3 linked regions of the Macaca fascicularis genome follow. The protein of the gene in region 3 interacts with the protein of the main gene of each other region in a pairwise test. Links are inferred from orthologs where the notes say so. Each region holds a gene or a part of one and is shown on either strand. Other genes may lie near its edges. The genes, in order: ZGPAT, KANSL1 and CDR2.

Evidence for each region.
Region 1: the proteins of CDR2 (region 3) and ZGPAT interact in binary tests that used the Homo sapiens proteins (3 or more experiments, as listed by UniProt). The two-hybrid records come from large-scale screens. The link is inferred for Macaca fascicularis from reciprocal best matches to the Homo sapiens genes CDR2 and ZGPAT.
Region 2: the proteins of CDR2 (region 3) and KANSL1 interact in binary tests that used the Homo sapiens proteins (3 or more experiments, as listed by UniProt). The two-hybrid records come from large-scale screens. The link is inferred for Macaca fascicularis from reciprocal best matches to the Homo sapiens genes CDR2 and KANSL1.

Annotation. Positions count from the first base shown.
Region 1 is NC_088384.1:119,823,601-119,827,346, forward strand, and holds the start of ZGPAT (zinc finger CCCH-type with G patch domain-containing protein), read left to right. Parts: upstream 1-1,573; 5' UTR 1,574-1,653; intron 1,654-2,082; 5' UTR 2,083-2,110; coding exon 2,111-2,691; intron 2,692-3,746. Other genes in the region: ARFRP1 (ADP-ribosylation factor-related protein 1), read right to left, coding at 231-318, 579-677, 1,334-1,387. UniProt on the Homo sapiens protein: Transcription repressor that specifically binds the 5'-GGAG[GA]A[GA]A-3' consensus sequence. Represses transcription by recruiting the chromatin multiprotein complex NuRD to target promoters.
Region 2 is NC_088390.1:67,803,207-67,806,952, forward strand, and holds the start of KANSL1 (KAT8 regulatory NSL complex subunit 1), read right to left. Parts: upstream 2,442-3,746; 5' UTR 2,397-2,441; intron 867-2,396; 5' UTR 733-866; intron 1-732. UniProt on the Homo sapiens protein: Non-catalytic component of the NSL histone acetyltransferase complex, a multiprotein complex that mediates histone H4 acetylation at 'Lys-5'- and 'Lys-8' (H4K5ac and H4K8ac) at transcription start sites and promotes transcription initiation.
Region 3 is NC_088394.1:21,335,757-21,339,402, reverse strand, and holds part of CDR2 (cerebellar degeneration-related protein 2), read left to right. Parts: intron 1-370; coding exon 371-519; intron 520-776; coding exon 777-941; intron 942-2,369; coding exon 2,370-3,228; 3' UTR 3,229-3,646.

The sequences.
Region 1 (3,746 bases), on a different chromosome or scaffold from region 3:
AAACAGGCAAGGCTCATGACCTTGGTCCTCGACACACCCAGTCCCAGCTCTCCCGGGGGATGGAGCAAACCATGCTGGTGCCACTCAAATGAGACTTGAGAGGGGACTGACAGGGCTGTGGCCAAGGGCCAGCTGGACTGTGAACGTCACGGCATCCTCAAGGCCCCAAACCCACAGCCTGCTATTTAGACCCCTTACTGTTTAGACCCCTTACTGTTTAGACCTCTTACTGTTTAGACCCACGGTGGTGGTGATTTTGGATAGACTCATTCCCTTGTAGTTCTTGTTAAACCGGGTTTTTGACTGTTCCAGGAAGGTCTGAGGAGAGAGGGAGAGGCAGACACATCAAGTAGGGGCTACACTGGCTTCCCAAATATCCTTCCTCAGGCCTGTTCCTTAAGAGAGAAAAACAGAAACAAAGCAACACTCTGCTCTTCAGGAAGCTGGTGGTGACAATCCTGTCGTCTCAGGTGAAATGTGGATTCCATCTGGGTAGTGAACATGCAGCTGACAGCACAAAACCGAAGCGGGGGCCACCCGGCCGTGGGAAAGGTGCGGGCAAGGGAGTGGGCACTCACCGTCTTCCCAGCATTGTCCAGGCCCAGGATCAGGATGCAGTACTCGTCCTTCTGAAACATGTACTTGTACAAGCCCGACAGCAGCGTGTACATCCTGCCCTGGGCGCCCCAACATGTGTCAGTGTGCAGCCGGAACGCAGCTCCCCGCCCCCGGGCTTCTCCACGGTGGTCAGGGGCGCCCCACGTCCAGCTGGCCGCTCAGGACCAGAGCCTGGGGGCCATTCCCGACTCTCCCTCCTCCACCGCACCCCTGCAACTCCTCCCAGGCCGGCCGCCACTCCGTCCTTCCGCTCACAGCAATGACTGCGACCTTTCCGAACCCGCAGCGGCTCCGGTCCCTCCCCTGCTCGCGGGACCACCCAGCCGGGTGTTCGCGGTGAGCTCCGCTGCGCTCCCGCCCTCCCCCGAGGTTTCGCTCCCACGCTTCACGCGCGCGGAACGGGGAACACACTCGCGGCAGCCCCGCCTGGGCCCCCGCGCCCCACCCGGGAGCAGCGAGCCGCCGGCGCGCTCCCCAGGAGCTCCCCAGGGACGCCCCATCAACCCATTTCTTAAAACGGGGACGGCCAGCGGGAAGCGGACTACAGGGCGGGTGCGCAGCGGCCCGGCTGCTCCCGGAGGCGGCGCGCGGCGGGCAGGGAACGACTCCCGCGGAGAAAGAACCCGCGTCGGGGACCCCGGCTACGGCCGCCCCATGCCGCGGCCGCCAGGTTGGAGGCTCGCCGACAAGCAGCCAAAGCTGGTTCCTGTCACACCTGCGTCCCACCTCCAGCTCTGGGCCGCCCCTCGGGCCTCGCGCCCCACCGCATAGCCTGCGGCCTACCTGCGACCGCCGCGACCTCGGAGCCGCCGCTGCTGACCCCCGCTGACCTCCGCTGACCCCGCGCTAACCCCGCGCGGCGCCTGACGGGACGAGAGCCGGCCTCAGGGAAGGAGCTGAAACGCGTCCCGGCGGCCTCCGCGCTCCGCTTCCCGGCTGCCCCCGCGCGCCAGGCACTTCCGGAAGTGGCGGCGCTCGGGAGGAAGTGCTGGTCGGCGGCGGGGACGAAAGGGGGGTGCCGGGCCGCTCTAGCCGGTGAGGCCGGCGGGCTCTCTATGGCGGCGGCTGGGAAACCGCGCGGGGGAGGTTCCCTGCCCGGGGAGAGGGGACCCCGGTTTGCGGGGACGCGGCCTTGGCCAGACTGCAGAGACGCCGGGCGCGGGGGCGGGGCCGGCCTGGAAGGCAGCGGGCGCGGCGGGTGGGCTCGGCGGAGGGCCGGGCGGCGGGGCGCCCCGCGGGGAGGGGGTCTCCGGAGTGACGCGGGACCCGGCTAGCGGCGAGCCCAGGGCGGCTCGGAAGGGAAGCGCGGAGCCTGAGCGGGGGTACCCGGTCTGCGACCTCTGCGCTGGGAGCTGTGCCTCTGAGCCGGTGTCTCCCCGAGGGACAGGGGACGTGCCCGTGCCCTCCCGCAGTCTGTGGGGCCGGTCCCGAGACGCGAGGCTCACCTGGCTTCTCTTCTCGCAGCCCTGGTCCAGCGCCTCCCTCTCTCAGCATGGACGAGGAGAGCCTGGAGTCGGCCTTGCAGACCTACCGTGCGCAGCTGCAGCAGGTGGAGCTGGCCCTGGGCGCCGGCCTGGATTCGTCTGAGCAGGCGGACCTGCGCCAGCTGCAGGGGGACCTGAAGGAGCTCATCGAGCTCACCGAGGCCAGCCTGGTGTCTGTCAGGAAGAGCAAGTTGCTGGCCGCGCTGGACGAAGAGCGCACGGGCCGGGAAGATGCTGAGTACCAGGCTTTCCGGGAGGCCATCACTGAGGCGGTGGAGGCGCCAGCAGCAGCCCCTGAGTCCGGATCAGAGACCGTTCCTAAAGCAGAGGCGGGGCCCGAATCTGCAGCAGGTGGGCAGGAGGAGGAAGAGGGAGAGGACGAGGAAGAGCTGAGTGGGACAAAGGTGAGCGCACCCTACTACAGCTCATGGGGCACTCTGGAGTATCACAACGCCATGGTGGTGGGAGCGGAAGAGGCTGAGGATGGTTCGGCGGGTGTCCGTGTGCTCTACCTGTACCCCACTCACAAGTCTCTGAAGCCGTGCCCGTTCTTCCTGGAGGGAAAGTGCCGCTTCAAGGAGAACTGCAGGTAAAACCCTTTGTTATCAGGATGCCAACCTTGGGGCGTAAGGGGCACGCACACAGGGTCGGGTCAGGGTGGCCCTCCCTTTGCTTTGCAGTTTTGTCTCAGCTTCTTGGGGCAGGCATGCTTTGTGACAGCAGTGTCTGTGTTCAGGCGTCTGCGTCTTTGTTCCGGGGTAAATCAAGAAGCATAGAAGGTGGCCGGGTGCGGTGGCCCACGCCTGTAATCCCAGCACTTTGGGAAGTCAAGGCGGGCAGATCACCTGAGGTCAGGAGTTCAGGACCACGCTGGTCAACATGGTGAAACCCTATCTCTGTTAAAAACACAAAATTCAACTGGTCGTGGTGGCGCGCACCTGTGGTCCTAGCTACTCAGGAGGCTGAGGCAGGAGAATTGGTTGAACCCAGGAGGCCAAGGTTGCAGTGAGCGGAAATGGAGCCACTGTACTCCAGCCTGAGCAACAGTGCAAGGCTTATGTGGAAGAGAATAGGTCTCCAACCTATCGTCATTGTTTTTTTGTTTGGTTGTTGTTTTAATTTTTTTTGAGACAGGGTCTTACTTTGTCAACCAGGCTGGAGTGCAGTGGCGCAGTCCTGGCTTACTGCAGCCTGGACCTCCTGGGCTCAACTGATCTCCTGCCTTAGCGCCCCTAGTAATTGGGGTACAGACTCACACTACCACATCCAGCTAATTTTTGTATTATTATTACTTGTTTATTTATTTATTTTTTGAGATGGAGTCTTGCTCTGTCGCCCAGGCTGGAGTGCAGTGGCGCAATCTCGGCTCACTGCAAGCTCTGCCTCCCGGGTTCAAACAATTCTCCTGCCTCAGCCTCCCTAGTAGCTGGGATTACAGGCACCTGCCACCATACCTGGCTAATTTTTTTGTACTTTTTAGTAGAGACGGGGTTTCACCGTGTTAGCCTGGATGGTCTCAATCTCCTGACCTTGTGATCCGCCCACCTCAGCCTCCCAAAGTGCTGGGATTACAGGCGTGAGACACAGTGCCTGCTTTTTTTTTTTTTTTTTTTGGAGATAGAGTTTCACTCTTGTTGCCCAGGC
Region 2 (3,746 bases), on a different chromosome or scaffold from region 3:
TCCTAATGGAGGGTTCTTTGGCCATCTATGTATAAAAGATGAGAGAAGCCAAAGAGACTGGAGAACCACCACATCAATGGGAGCTTTTTCATCTAAAGGTCATCTGTCCACACTGTCCAAATGAGGTTTACCCTGTGAAATAAACTTGGCATAAGTGCTACCTGTTGAGAAAAACAGTGTGAAATGTCACGCAAAGGACTGGGGTGCAGCAGGAGGACTCTGAAAAAGTCATACGTGTAAACCAGCAGGTCTTAGAATGTTCTAATATACTATATGCAGTTTCAGAGTAAACAAATGGTTAATGACACATCTTTTGTAACACATGAATCAGCTACTGATTTGCAAGAGTGGGACACACCCTAGTACCTATGACTCTAAAGTACCTGTTTGAAAAGTGGACCTAGATGTCTGAATTGCCAACCTATCCTAAAATTGGAACAGAATTTTATAACTATGTAAGTTGCCATAATTTAAAGTTAAAAAGATCACTGCCTTTCATTATAATGGAAGTTAATTTGAGAACTTCATTAAAACGTTCACACCGATAATCAAAGAACAGTAGCAATGCAAAGTAAGGTACAGCCAATCAATCCTAGGAAGCAAACACAAGAGGCAAGAGAAATGGCAGGTAAAGGAACTGAAGAATAGCAAATTCAAGAATTACAAGCATTACAAAGTTCTAAAGAAAAATGAATAAAATGAGGCTGGTAATGAAAAAATAACACATCTTACCTTAAGAGGCATCCAAATAGCATTCATAGTGTCAGGATATAAAGACAATACTCAGAAATGAGCAAGAAGTCTTAGTAATTCCCTCGGTTACCAAGTATGAGCAGATAGGAAAATCTTTTGTTTCGATAAGGTATCTGAAAGAGAGGATTTTCATTTAGACTAAAAAATAATCAAGAAAATGCAAATAGTTTAAGCTACATGGGCAGAGATTTTGAAGTACTATTTGCCTCATCGCACTAAAAAAGTATAGAAAATACAGTCCCCTTTAGAAAACGGCAAATGTGTGTGTGTCTCCGTACATATGTGTAGAAACATACGTTATATAAAAAGAGAAATAAATATGTAACACTTACTTTAGATAATGTAAAATTGCTTATCAAACAGCCAAAATCCCAGAGAGAATAAAGTTTCCAGGGTACCTCATAAACACTAAACGTGATTTGTTAACTAACCATCTAAAAAAAGACCCTTGCTACATTTAATTATATTTAGTAAAGTAAAACCTCTCTAATCATCCCGACTGTCCCAAGATTATGCTTAAGTTTCAGAGTCAATTCCACATGAAAAGTAAAACCTATTCTTGACTGAAGTACTAGAAACAAATAAAATACCCTTCTTCCCCAGAGATCGTTAAAAGCAGACCGAGCAACTTAATTTTGAGGGTAGGAGGAAGGTAAATTTGCCTGGAGGCTGGAGGATGGACTAAATGACCTCTAGTAGGATCCTCGTTCAAGTCCTGGGCCTGAATACAATTCCAGCTTAACCAGTTACTGCTTCGCTTAAAATGGAGGCTTGCCCGCGTAGGGACAAAAATAACAGCACCCACTTCGTTAAAAACAAATGTCGAAAAGTACCCTTATTTAAATAAAAATAAAAAATAAACACCTCTGGAGTGGATGTGTTCTTGCTATGCGTTTGTCACTGAGGCTTCGAAGACTTGGCATCACTTTCCTTACCGCTCACCGGATTTTGGGGGAGGAGCGGGGGGCGGCAGTTTGACTCCTGACCCAAGTCTCAGGCAGGCTTCAAAGCCCCACCAGGGCCCCCAACTCCAGAGCCAGAGGGAGCGGAGAGGCGAGAGCCCGAGATCGCACCTCCCCCCACCGCGGACCCCAGTCCCAAACCTACCCCTCACCCCTCCGCAGTGGGGCGCCTCCTTCTGCCCCATTCCCATTGTTAGGGAGGGGAGAGCGCGGGGTGGGCTCAGGGCAGGGGCGCCCGCGGCCGTTGCCCGGCTCGCTTCAGGAGGGGCGGCCCGCGGGATGCGGCTTCCCTTCCTCTCCGCGTCGGTCCGTCCCACCTCGGCTCGGCCTGGCGCCCCGAGCTCCGCTCCGCGCCCCCGGCCGCGGCCCCGGCCCGCCCCCGGGGCAGCCAGGCCCCCCGGCCACTCGGTCGGCAGCCTGCGGCCCAGGCCTACGAGTGGGCGCTGGGCGGGGGTCCCCGTGCCCCACACACGCGTCCCTCTCCCCGAGCCCCGCCGCTTCCAGGGCCCTCGGCGGCGCCCGCTCCCCGGGCCCCGCCGCCCCCCGCCTCCCAGCCGGGCCGCTCCCTCGAGCTCGTCGTGTCGGGGCCGCCGCCTCTACCTCACCATCACCCCTGTCCACTCGTGCCCCCACCCCCAGGGGCACCAGTGCCAAAGACAGCTCCCCCAGCCCCGGACCTACCTGCACGGTTCAACCAAGCCTAGAAGTGGGGGCGGGGAATCTTCCGCCCTCCTCTGGCGTTCATTGGCCCTTCAGGGGCATATCGTGAGCACCATTGGCTGAGCGATAGTGTCCGTCAGAGAGATGGGGCGGGACCGAAGGGGGAGAGGGATGCTGGTGCCTCGGCGTCTCTGTCTCTGTGTATCTCGCTGTCTCTGTCTCTGTCTCGGCCCTTGGAAACGAGAGGCTTTTGGATGAGAGGACTAGAAGCGGGCCTGAGGTGGGAGGAATAGGAATAGGAATCCTGCCAGAGCGTCACGCCAGTTGGCCACTCTGAACCCCCTACCTAAGTCCCCTTTAGGTTCTCTTCTCCATCACCCCCAACCCCTGCCCCTCACCCCTCGAGGTTCCTTCATCCAGGAAGCGACGTGATGAAAACTCCAGGCCGGAAGGCCATAGGGAGAGATGTTATATATGTATAGAAAATATACACATATAAATATTTATATATAAATTCAACCAGATATCAGTTCACTAGGGCCTGGAAAGGAAAGGGCACACATCTCACAGACAGGGAAGGACTTGAGATAGAGCCGGCAGAAGAAGGAATCAAAAATCACTCTTACGAGCTGGCAACAGTGGTTACCTCCTGGGAGGGGAACTGAGTGCCTAGGGAACCAGTGGGCGGAAGACTTACATATCTCGGCGTATCCTTTGTATCCATTGATTTTTGCACCATTCATCAAGATTCCAATTTTTTAAAAATTGATTTAAAGGTTTAAATAAGGTCCCAAAACCAGGGGACAGATAAGATAGTTGGCCAGGAAAATTGGCACAACATGCAGATTTGGGGAGGAATCTTAGCTTTTAATATATTCAGTTCCAGGTAACAGGGTTTTGTAAAACCCAGTGAAGGTGTCCTAGAGGCAACTGAAGTTACAGAACTTGAGAGAGGGTAGACAATCAGGAGGACTAGAGACTATGTGGGGTCCTCTGCCTGAAGATAGTGGTCTGTGACATGCTAAACTCCCTAAGCAGGGTAATAAGACACCCACGGTAAAAGGTAGGAGAACGAAAAAGAAGGTCAGTGAGGTAAAAGAAACAGAATATTAAAGAGGCATGAAAATTAAGGAAGGAAGGGTCTGTGGAAAATAGAACAATAAAACTATGAGAGAGGACGGGCGCGGTGGCTCATGTTTGTAATCACAGCACTTTGGGAGGCCAAGGCAGGTGGATCACCTGAGGTCAGGAGTTCCAGACCAGCCTGGGCAGCATGGTGAAACCCCATCTCTAATAGAAATGCAAAAAAAATTAGCCAAGTGTAGTGGCACACCTCTGTAATCCCAGCTACTGGGAAGGCTGAAGTGGGAG
Region 3 (3,646 bases):
AGGTATCTTTTTTTGTTTGTTTCTTTGTTTGAGATGGAGTTTCACTCTTGTTGCCCAGGCTGGAGTGCAATGGCGCCATCTCAGCTCATTGCAACCTCTGTCTCCCGGGTTCAAGTAATTTTCCTGCTTCAGCCTCCCAAGTAGCTGGGATTACAGGCATGTGTCACCACACCTGCCTAATTTTTGTATTTTTAGTAGAGACGGGATTTCACCATGTTGGTCAGGCTGGTCTCGAATTCCTGACCTCAGGTGAGCCGTATGTCTCGGCCTCCCAAAGTGCTGGGATTACAGGCATGAGCCACCATGGCCAGCCAAGGAACAGCAGGTATCTTATCTGTTTGTGTCACCTGGTCCTGATCTTCTCTTACAGTATCTGACCAAGCAAGTGGAGCTTCTACGGCAGATGAACGAACAACATGCAAAGGTTTATGAACAATTAGATGTCACAGCAAGGGAACTGGAAGAAACAAATCAAAAACTAGTTGCTGACAGCAAGGCCTCACAGCAAAAGATTCTGAGGTAAATTTTCTAGAATCTGACAAGGAAGGCCTAGAGGGAAGTTCTTTAGTATAAACTAGAATAGAACATGGCTGCAGTGGGTTTAGGTCAATATGGGATAAAGTTTAATTTAATTCTTTCTGGAGAATGGAGATTAAATAGATGTCCTTTCCAATTAAGAAAGCCCAATGTGAGTGGCTCGCATCTAATCTCTCCTCACCGCTTTTGCCCTTGATTCAGTATGACAAGCAGCAATGGCTTCTGTCTGTTCCTTACAGCCTGACTGAAACGATTGAATGCCTGCAAACCAACATTGATCACCTGCAGAGCCAAGTGGAGGAGCTGAAGTCATCTGGCCGAGGGAGAAGGAGCCAGGGGAAGTGTGACCAGGAGAAACCGGCACCCAGCTTTGCATGTCTGAAGGAGCTGTATGATCTCCGCCAGTAAGAGCCTACCTGTCTGTGGAGTTACAGCAGGGACTGTCTCATGTCATTGGCACATTCTGAATTCCAGTAGATTGAAAGTACCATTTTAAGAAATGTCACTTAGCTATTAAGCTACCATTGGTTTTGAACAAAATCACTTAAACATAGAAATTACACAGTTCTTATATATTGGTAATTCTTATTTTGAAAGTCTTAGAGCACTTATTTCAGGGCTTTTAATGTGTTAAATCATAGTTTAAGATGAATGACTTCTGATAGACTATAGAAATATTGGTAAAACAAAAATTCAAGCAAACAAGATTTTTTGCTTAAAGAAGTACCTTTATAATTTAGAGTTACAAGTCTGAATCTTTAAGAAGTATTTGTGGAACACTTGTTGTATGGCAAGCTCTATGCCAGACCTGAGGGCTGGTGAGCAGAATAGAGTTCCTATCCCTGTGAGCTTTCAGTCTAACAGAACGGCAGATAAGCAAATAAAAACACAAATAAATAGTCAAGCAAGGTGCCTTGGACTGAGCAGGAGAAATCAGGTGGTTCATTTGGTGGGTCTTTGGCTGCACATCAGATCACCTGTGGAGTTTTTCAAAATGCAGATACCAACACATTCCCTCAGGCCTAAATCAGAATTTCTGGGTGTGGGTAAAAAGCTGCCCAGGCAATTCTGATGAACATTCCTGGTTAAACACCACAGCAACAGTAATTTGCTGTAGTGATTCAATCGTAATTATGTATTATGAATCATTTGGAGAGCCTTTAGAAACCCTCAGGCCGGGTAGCAGACCAACTAGGTTAGAATCTGTGGGTTGGGACCCAGGCACCAGTACTTTTTAAGGTTTCCCTTGTGAGGTCATTGGCATACTGCCAGTCTTTGGGAATAGATGTTCTTTAGTACTTTCAACATTAAAAAAAGATTCATCGCAAAAACTGAGTTTGCTTTCATGTGTTTATTTACCAGCCTCACACAGTTCCATTTTAGCCACTGCTCCAGTGTGGCTAAAAATCAGTCACTGTCGGCCGGGTGCAGTGGCTCACACCTGTAAATCCCAGCACTTTGGGAGGCCGAGGCAGGAGGATCACCTGAGGTTGGGAGACCAACCAGCCTAACCAACATGGAGAAATCCCGTCTCTACTAAAAATACAAAATTAGCCAGGCATGGTGGCGCATGCCTAAAATCCCACCTACTTGGGAGGCTGAGGCAGGAGAATTGCTTAAACCCGGGAGGCTGAGGTTGCAACGAGCTGAGATCGCTCCACTGCACTCCAGCCTGGCGACAGAGTGAGACTCCATCTCAAAAAAAAAAGAAAAAAAAATCAGTCACTGTCACAGCTCCTCAAATTTATTTAGTTGAAAAAAAATCACCAGTCTTCCTCACTTCATTCTCAGTGGACCTGTGTAATACATTCTTTCAATATTTTTTTCCCTAGACACTTCGTGTATGATCATGTGTTCGCTGAAAAGATCACTTCCTTGCAAAGTCAGCCAAGCCCTGATGAAGAGGAAAATGAGCACTTGAAAAAAACGGTGACAATGTTGCAGGCCCAGCTGAGCCTGGAGCGGCAGAAGCGGGTGACTATGGAGGAGGAATATGGGCTGGTTTTAAAGGAGAACAGTGAACTGGAGCAGCAGCTGGGGGCCACAGGTGCCTACCGAGCACGGGCGCTGGAACTAGAGGCTGAGGTGGCAGAGATGCGACAGATGTTGCAGTCAGAGCATCCATTTGTGAATGGGGTTGAGAAGCTGGTGCCAGACTCTCTGTTTGTTCCTTTCAAAGAACCCAGCCAGAGCCTGCTGGAAGAGATGTTCCTGACTGTGCCGGAACCACACAGAAAGCCTCTCAAGCGCAGCAGCAGTGAGACGATCCTCAGCAGCTTGGCAGGGAGTGACATCGTGAAGGGCCATGAGGAGACCTGCATCAGGAGGGCCAAGGCTGTGAAACAGAGGGGCATCTCCCTTCTGCACGAAGTGGACACACAGTACAGTGCCCTGAAGGTGAAGTATGAAGAGCTGCTGAAGAAGTGCCAACAGGAACAGGACTCCCTGTCACACAAGGCTGTACAGACCTCCAGGGCTCCGGCCAAGGACCTGACTGGAGTGAACGCCCAGTCTGAGCCTGTTGCCAGCGGCTGGGAACTGGCCTCTGTCAACCCAGAGCCCGTCAGTTCCCCTACAACACCTCCAGAATACAAAGCGTTGTTTAAGGAGATCTTTAGTTGCATCAAGAAAACTAAGCAGGAAATAGATGAACAGAGAACAAAATACCGATCACTCTCCTCTCATTCTTAATTGAACCTCTAGCTCTACTACTAATTTGCCTATTGCCTATCACCTCTCTCATTCAGACAAGTGTTTGTAGACTTGGAAGCCTGATGTTGCTTGTGACATTTGCCTCATTGCTTTGCTTATTTAGCAAATGCATACAACGAGGAAAGGAGGTGGCTACTGGTATCAGTTCTCTGATCCACTTCCATTTAAGCTCCCCAGGAAATCCCATGACAAACTGGCCTCTGGCTGGCGCACTGATTAGACTTCAATTCCTGAAAAGGACCAGTGGAGGGAAGAGCTATACTACTGGAGAAGTAGGCCTGGAGTTACTACAGTATGGGGGAGAAGGGCCGAGTTGGCACAAAGCTAAGGCAGTTCCTATTGCTTCCTTGCGCAACTTCTCAAAACGATGTAAAGTCAGAGGGCTGTCAAACTCAAG